Linked DNA regions of Macaca fascicularis. The protein of the gene in region 2 interacts with the protein of the main gene of each other region in a biochemical or structural test. Links are inferred from orthologs where the notes say so. Each region holds a gene or a part of one and is shown on either strand. Other genes may lie near its edges. The genes, in order: EMD and LMNA.

Region 1 (4,252 bases), on a different chromosome or scaffold from region 2:
CCGCTGCAGCTCCCCCCAGTGCCCCGGGTGAATGAACGGCATGAAGGATTAGGCGGGCACACGTTGTCTCTGTACGCATCGCACGGCGCCCTCTGCCCGCGCCCACTGGCGTGCCCGTCGGCATGCCCGGGCCCCTTCGAAGGCTGCTTGCTTCTGGAGTGCCAGCGGCCTCCTGGCCCAGTGCCCCATTTCCTCCCGGGTAGAGTGAGGGAGGAGGAAGGGAAGCAGAGAGGTAGGCGGTGGGAAGCAGCAGGCACATGTGCGCGGGCGAGAGCCCTGCAGACTGGGAAGAAGGGCCCGTGGCAGGGGGTCTGCGGAGATCCCATAGGCGCGGGCCTTGCCCCGCAGCCGCTTCCCGAGCAATGCGCACACAAAGCGCCCCCGGCAGTGCCTGGCCCCGGGCCCGCGCTCTCTTAGGGTCCGCTGCCGGGGCGGCCGACCGGGATGCGGCCGGGAAACCCTAGGCTCTGGGGCCCAGGAAAGGGGGGCGACGGCGGGGAGCAGGGATGTGCAGGGACCGGGCGAAGTCCAAGTGACTTAGGGACCAGAGCCACCCCAAGCGCCGACTTCGCCCGCTCGCACGTCCCGGGTCCCTAGCGCGCAGGCCCCATCCCTCTCACCCGGCTGGCTCAAGCGCGCCACAGGGTGACGTCTTGGCTCCCAGCCGTGTCGCCCTCACTCCCGCGCGGGCCCCGCCCCCTGCCGCTAGCCAATCTGTGCGTTTGTGACTTTTGGGCCCGCAGCCCCGCCTACTCCCACTGCGATACCAGTTTGCATTGCCCTGACTCCCGCGCGGGCCCCGCCGCCTACGCCGCTAGCCAATCCGTGCGTTAGTGACGTGTGGCGCCCCTCGCGGCGCGGCTTGCTCCCACCGCGAGACCTTCTGCCCCGCGCCCGCGCGGGCCCCGCCTCCTCCATCGCTAGCCAATCCCCATGTTTGTGACGTAAGGGCTCTCCGCTCCGCTCGCTCCCAACGCAAGACCTTTTGCTCCGCGCCTGCGCGGGCCCCGCCCCCTCCATCACTAGCCAATTCCCGTGTTTGTGACATATGGGCTTGCGGCCCCGCCCGCTCCCACCGCGAGACCGGTTCCCACCACCCTGACTCCCGGGGGCCCGCCCTCTCTGCCGCTAGCCAATCCGTGAGTTGATGACGTTTGGGCTCGCGGCCCCAGCCTCCCAGCTCTCAAGGCCCGGCCGGTCTGTGCCGGCTACTCCCGCCGTTTGGTCCCGCCCAGCGCAGCGCGCGCAGCCTGCGGAGCCAGCGGCCGTGACGCGACAGCGATTCGGCTGTGACGCGAGTGCGGCCGCTCCCGATGCACTCGTGCCGCCCCCGCCGTGCTCCTAGGCAGCCGTTGCTCGGCCGGTTTTGGTAGGCCCGGGCCGCCGCCAGGCCTCCGCCCGAGCCCGCACCCGCCATGGACGACTACGCAGATCTTTCAAATACCGAGCTGACCGCCTTGCTGCGCCGGTACAACATCCCGCACGGGCCTGTAGTAGGTACGCGGCGGCGGGCGGGACCCCTTCCGGGCCCCCTCCTCGTGCTCCGCCCCGCGACCTCCCCGCTGCCCTCCCCGCGCCCCTTCCCCGGACTGCGGCCCTGACCGCCCCGTGTCCGGCCAGGATCAACTCGTAGGCTTTACGAGCAGAAGATCTTCGAGTATGAGACCCAGAGGCGGCGGCTCTCGCCCCCCGGCTCGTCCGCTGCCTCCTCTTATCGCTTCTCTGGTGAGAGCCTCGCCTGTGGGGACGGCCTGGGACGCGGGGAGGATGAGGTAGCGAGGGTGTGGCAGGGGTGCCGGTCGAGAGCGGCACTGGGGAAAGGGGAGGGAAGCCTTGGGGTGGGGGTGGGGGGGCAAACAGTTCTGTCTCCTCCTTTCAATCCAGAGTTGAATTCGACGTCAGGGGATTCAGATATGTATGATCTTCCCAAGAAAGAGGACGCCTTACTCTACCAGAGCAAGGGTAAGGCAGGGGTTGGGTGGGCACGCTGGCACCTTCACCCGACTGCGTCAGGGACCCCGCTCACAGGGAGGACCTGAGACCTCAGTCCCAACCACTCCAGCAGCCTTAGGAGGGAGAAACTGTCACAGGTCCCGAAATGGGATTCAGATTAGGGCCATCGGGCCAGGCGGGGCACACCGATGCCCCCTCTGCTACCGCTGCCCCCCTTCCCAAGGCTACAATGACGACTACTATGAAGAGAGCTACTTCACTACCAGGACTTATGGGGAGCCCGAGTCTGCGGGCCCGTCCAGGGGCTTCCGCCAGTCTGTGACTTCACTCCCAGATGCTGACACTTTCCACCACCAGGTGAGCTGGCTGGCAGGCGTACTGTACTTGGGTACAACCTAGGGGATCGCGGCTGTGTTTGGATAAATCCAGGGGGCCACTGGGTACAAATGGTGGCCCTTGGGCCTCTGGGGAGACTTTGGCTCAGCAGACACCTGTTTGGTCAGGGTCCTACTTTGGGGAGCCCTCAGAACTATGTGACTAGAGCACATAGGATGCGTCCTGCACCCTGGTCTGGGATCTAGGCTCCAGCTCTTCCTGAGAGTCCTGGGGGCAAAGGGGGATGCTGGGGCATGAGCACAAGTAGCAAGGCCCCATGGATAAAAGGCCGAACACCCAGAGTCATTCAGGAGGGTGTGGGTCCCTGGCCTTTAACCAAAGGTCAGAGGGGACCTGCTGGGGAAATTTGAGAGGGACGTGGCAGGGCCATTGTGGCCCTGCCAGCCAGTTCCCTCACCTTGACTCTCTTCTACAGGTACGTGATGACGACCTTTTGTCGTCTTCTGAAGAGGAGTGCAAGGATAGGTATGTATGTATGGGGAAGGCCAGGGACAGGGGCTGGTTCTGGACCCAGGCTCCTGGCCCACCTGCTCCCCTCTTTTGCCTCAGGGAACGCCCCATGTACGGCCGGGACAGTGCCTACCAGAGCATCACGCACTACCGCCCTGTTTCAGCCTCCAGGAGCTCCCTGGACCTGTCCTATTATCCTACTTCCTCCTCCACCTCTTCTATGTCCTCATCATCTTCCTCTTCATGGCTCACCCGCCGTGCCATCCGGCCTGAAAACCATGCTCCTGGGGCTGGGCTGGGCCAGGATCACCAGGTCCCACTCTGGGGCCAGCTGCTGCTTTTCCTGGTCTTTGTGATCGTCCTCTTTTTCATTTACTACTTCATGCAGGCTGAGGAAGGCAACCCTTTCCAGAGGGAGCCATGAGGGTCTGGGCTTCAGAGCCAGGTCTTCTGGGGAAGTCCTGGCTGACTGCCTTAGCAGTGGGGGTGGGGGTGGGTGTGGGGGCAGGGGCAGGGGCAGGGGCTTTTATGTGTTCTTGCTTGGGGGGCGCTGGGCCTAGCCCAGAGTAGTGCTTGCTCCCCCTGCCTTGTCCCACCAGGGAGGCAGCAGATTCAGGCCCTCCATGGGGGCCTGAGTGTGCTTTCCTCGGCAGCCTCCTGGCCCTGCTTGCCTGTAACCCTTAGGGTCCAGGAGGGCAAGGCCTCGCTCAGTCAGAGGAGAACATGGTTCTTGTTGTCATGCATGCCTCCTTTTTGTCATCTTGTTGGGGGGGATTAACCAAAGGCCACCCTTTGTTTTCGTGGACACACAATAAAAACCCCATTTATTTTTAATGCGTTGGCTCTTCCTGGAGGAGAGGGTTGGGCTCCCATGGCAAGGGCCTCTGCGTCTTGGGACTCGAGGATTGCAATCTGGCTTTGTTGGGTCCGCATTTTTGCTTTGGTCTGGGGATAGGAATCAAATGCTACCCAGAGATGTTTGTGTTTTGTTTGGGAGTTTTATTCCCTAACTCATTCCCCAAAGCACCTGTAACTGCTTATACATATAATTGTGGTACAACAAGGCGTATACAGAGAACCCACTTAGAAATTCAGGCAAAGCAGCCGGGCGCAGTGGCTCAAGCCTGTAATCCCAGCACTTTGGGAGGCCGAGGCGGGCGGATCACGAGGTCAGGAGATTGAGACCATACTGGCTAACACAGTGAAACCCCGTCTCTACTAAAAATACAAAAAAGTAGCCAGGCGAGGTGGTGGGCGCCTGTAGTCCCAGCTACTCGGGAGGCTGAGGCAGGAGAATGGCGGGAACCCGGGAGGCGGAGCTTGCAGTGAGCTGAGATCGCACCACTGCACTCCAGCCTGGGTGACAGAGCAAGACTCCGTCTCAAAAAAAAAAAAAAAAAAAATTCAGGCAAAGCTGCATGCATGCTACCAGCAGTCTGTGGGTGTTTTAACT
Region 2 (3,804 bases):
CACGGGGTAGAGCTCTGCCCTTGGCCCCAGGCACGTTCCTGAGCCCTGACTCATGGGAAGGGTGGAGAAGCAGGAAGGGGGTTTTCAGAGACCTTGGGGAGGTGGGAGCCCAGCCCCAGAGGCAAGCAGATGCAAACCAACCTAATGCAAGGATGCCCTCTCCTGGTAGTTGCAGGGACAGCAGCGCCAGCCCCCATGGTTGACCTCTTGGGAGCCTGGCACTGTCTAGGCACGCAGATTCCTTCTCTTAAATCCACTCTCCCCTCTCTTCTTTAGCAATACCAAGAAGGAGGGTGACCTGATGGCTGCTCAGGCTCGGCTGAAGGACTTGGAGGCTCTGCTCAATTCCAAGGAGGCCGCACTGAGCACTGCTCTCAGTGAGAAGCGCACGCTGGAGGGCGAGCTGCATGATCTGCGGGGCCAGGTGGCCAAGGTGAGGCCACCCTGCAGGGCCTGCCCATGGCCCTACCTAACACATGTACACTCACTCTTCTACCTAGGCCCTCCCCCATGTGGTGCCTGGTCTGACCTGCCACCTGATTTCAGAGCCATTCACCTGTCCTAGAGTCATTTCAGCCACTGAGGCCACATCTTATCCTAATTTGACTGCCCATGGGATCTACCACAGTGAATTTAAAATAATCCAGGAGGCCAGGCGTGGTGGCTCACACCTGTAATCCCAGCACTTTGGGAGGCTGAGGCGGACAGATCACGAGGTCAGGAGATCGAGACCATCCTGGCTAACACGGTGAAACCCATCTCTACTAAAAATACAAAAAATTAGCCGGACGTGATGGCAGGCGCCTGTAGTCCCAGCTACTTGGGAGGCTGAGGCAGGAGAATGGCATGAACCTGGGAGGTGGAGCTTGCAGTGAGCTGAGATCGCGCCACTGCACTCCAGCCTGGGCGACAGAGCGAGACTCCGTCTCAAAAAAAAAAAAAAAAAAAAAAAAGAAGTGGATGGCTAATTACATATGGGACATGTGTTAATAATGCTTTGTGTATATATAGTGGCCTTTACTTTCAAAACACTCTTCTCCAGTTTATCGTGTTAAAAGCTAGGAATTGGGCCAGGCGTGGTGGCTCATGCCTATGATCCTAGCGCTTTGGGAGGCCGAGGCGGGTGGGTCATTTGAGGTCAGGAGTTGGAGACCAGTAATCCCACCTGTAATCCCAGCTACTTGGGAGGCTGAGGCAGGAGAATCGCTTGAACCCGGGAGGTGGAGGTTGCAATGAGCCGAGATCGGGTCACTGCACTCCAGCCTAGGTGACAGAGCGAGACTCCATCTCAAAAAATTAAAAAAATAAAAATAAATAATAAATAATAAATAAAAGCTAGGAATCAAAAAAGCAGTTTATTTCACAGTCTCATCTGTTCATAGCGGGGCCAGGATGAGAGTCAGTGGCCAAATTTCCATCCTGGGTTCTTTCCCTTCCCAGGCCCTAACATCACAGTGTACCAGGGAAAGACCCGGAGAAGCCACCAAACCAAGGCTGGGCCACCTTCCTCCTGGGTCTGGTCTGCTGCCTCCCAGTTGTACCCCTCCCCCAGCCCTTCCTGGATGCACTGATCAGCCTGTGCTTCCTTGCCCTGTTTTTCTTTTTCTTTCTTTCTTTTTTTTTTTTGAGGCAGAGTCTTGCTCTGTCGCCCAGGCTGGAGTGCAGTGGTGCGATCTTGGCTCACTGCAAGCTCCGCCTCCCGGGTTCACGCCATTCTCCTGCCTCAGCCTCCCGAGCAGCTGGGACTACAGGTGCCCACCACCTCGCCCGGCTAGTTTTTTTGTATTTTTTAGTAGAGACGGGGTTTCACCGTGTTAGCCAGGATGGTCTCGATCTCCTGACCTCGTGATCCGCCCGTCTCAGCTTCCCAAAGTGCTGGGATTACAGGCTTGAGCCACCGCGCCTGGCCGCCCTGTTTTCTTTATAAATAGAGACATGTTCTCTCTCTCTCTGTCTTTTCTTTCGAGACGGAGTCTTACTCTGTCACCCAGGCTGGAGTGCAATGGCACAATCTCGGCTCACTGTAACCTCCGTCTCCCGGGTTCAAGCCATTCTCCTGCCTCAGCCTCCTGAGTAGCTGGGATTAGAGGTGCCCACCACCACGCCCAGCTGCTTTTTGTATTTTTAGTAGAGATGGGGTTTCACCATGTTGGCCAGGCTGGTCTTGAACTCCTGACCTCAGGTGTTCTGCCCGCCTCGGCCTCCCAAAGTGCTGGGATTACAGGTGTGAGCCACCACGCCCGGCAAAACGTGTTTTCTCTATGTTGTTGAGGCTGGTCTTGAACTCCTGGCCATGAGAGTTCTTCCTGCCTCAGTCTCCCAATGTGCTGGGATTATAGGCATGAGCCACCACACTTAGCCCAGCCTGTGCTTTCTTAAATGAAAATCTAAGCATACGGCTGGGCGGATCACGAGGTCAAGAGATCGAGACCATCCTGGCCAGCATGGTGAAACCCCGTCTCTACTAAAAATACAAAAATCAGCTGGGTGTGATGGCGCGTGCCTGTAGTCCCAGCTACTTGGGAAGCTGAGGCAGGAGAATCGCTTGAACCTGGGACGTGGAGGTTGCAATGAGCCGAGATTGCGCCACTGCATGTCTTGCCTGGCGACAGAGTGAGACTCTGTCTCAAAAAAAAAAAAAGAGGCCAGGTGCGGTGGCTCACGCCTGTAATCCCAACACTTTGAGAGGCCAGCAGATCCCAAGGTCAGGAGATCGAGACCATCCTGGCTAACACGGTGAAACCCCGTCTCTACTAAAAATACAAAAAATTAGCCAGGCCTGGTGGCAGGTGCCCTTAGTCCCAGCTAGTCGGGAGGCTGAGGCAGGAGAATGGCGTGAACCTGGGAGGCGGAGCTTGCAGTGAGCCGAGATCGCACCATTGCACTCCAGCCTGGGTGACAGAGCAAGACTCCGTCTCAAAAAAAATAAATAAAAGGCCGGGCACGGTGGCTCAAGCCTGTAATCCCAGCACTTTGGGAGGCTGAGGCGGGTGGATCACGAGGTCAGGAGATCGAGACTATCCTGGCTAACATGGTGAAACCCCGTCTCTACTAAAAATACAAAAAACTAGCCGGGCGTGGTGGCGGGCGCCTGTAGTCTCAGCTACTTGGGAGGCTGAGGCGGGAGAATGGCGTGAACCCGGGAGGCGGAGCTTGCAGTGAGCCGAGATCACGCCACTGCACTCCAGCCTGGGAGACACAGCGAGACTCCGTCTCAAAAAATAAATAAATAAATAAATAAAATAAATAAATAAAAAATAAAAAATAAAAATAAATAAATAAATAAAAAAAGAAGAAAAGAAAATCTAAGCCTGGTGCTCCCCTGCTCAAACATCCTCAGGTTCTTTTCATGGCAGATAAGGGCATCTCTTCATGTGCCAGCCCCTGCCTACTGACCCAGCCACCTCTCCCATCCCTTCCCACCCCATACTTCAGGCTTCAGCAGGACTGATCTTTCCAAAGACCCCAGAACATGCATGCCTTCATACCTCTGTGTCTGTACATGCTTGTTTCTGCCCTTGAAGTCATGACAGTAACTCTCTGTAGGCCCTGCTAGCCTGTCCCTTGGGTCTTAGCCTCTTGGAGGCCTTCCCAGAGCCCCCCACAACTACCCCAGGCTTACTTTGGTTTCTTCTCTCATGTCCCCTCAGTACTTTGCACATACCTCCTTTATAGCATTTGCTATGTTGTGCCAGAGAAGGGAGTCCTGTGGTTGGGGGGGCATATATCTTTTCTTTTCTTTTTTTTGAGACAGAGTCTCGCTGAGTTGCCCTGGCTTGAGTGCAGTAGTGCGATCTCGGCTCA

The links.
Region 1: the proteins of LMNA (region 2) and EMD form a complex in vitro, tested with the Homo sapiens proteins (4 studies listed by BioGRID and IntAct, with this or other methods). The link is inferred for Macaca fascicularis from reciprocal best matches to the Homo sapiens genes LMNA and EMD.

Annotation. Positions count from the first base shown.
Region 1 is NC_088395.1:160,349,863-160,354,114, reverse strand, and holds EMD (emerin), read left to right. Parts: upstream 1-1,263; 5' UTR 1,264-1,415; coding exon 1,416-1,497; intron 1,498-1,620; coding exon 1,621-1,725; intron 1,726-1,884; coding exon 1,885-1,962; intron 1,963-2,176; coding exon 2,177-2,310; intron 2,311-2,764; coding exon 2,765-2,814; intron 2,815-2,898; coding exon 2,899-3,223; 3' UTR 3,224-3,633; downstream 3,634-4,252. UniProt on the Homo sapiens protein: Stabilizes and promotes the formation of a nuclear actin cortical network. Stimulates actin polymerization in vitro by binding and stabilizing the pointed end of growing filaments. Inhibits beta-catenin activity by preventing its accumulation in the nucleus.
Region 2 is NC_088375.1:104,945,522-104,949,325, reverse strand, and holds part of LMNA (lamin), read left to right. Parts: intron 1-276; coding exon 277-433; intron 434-3,804.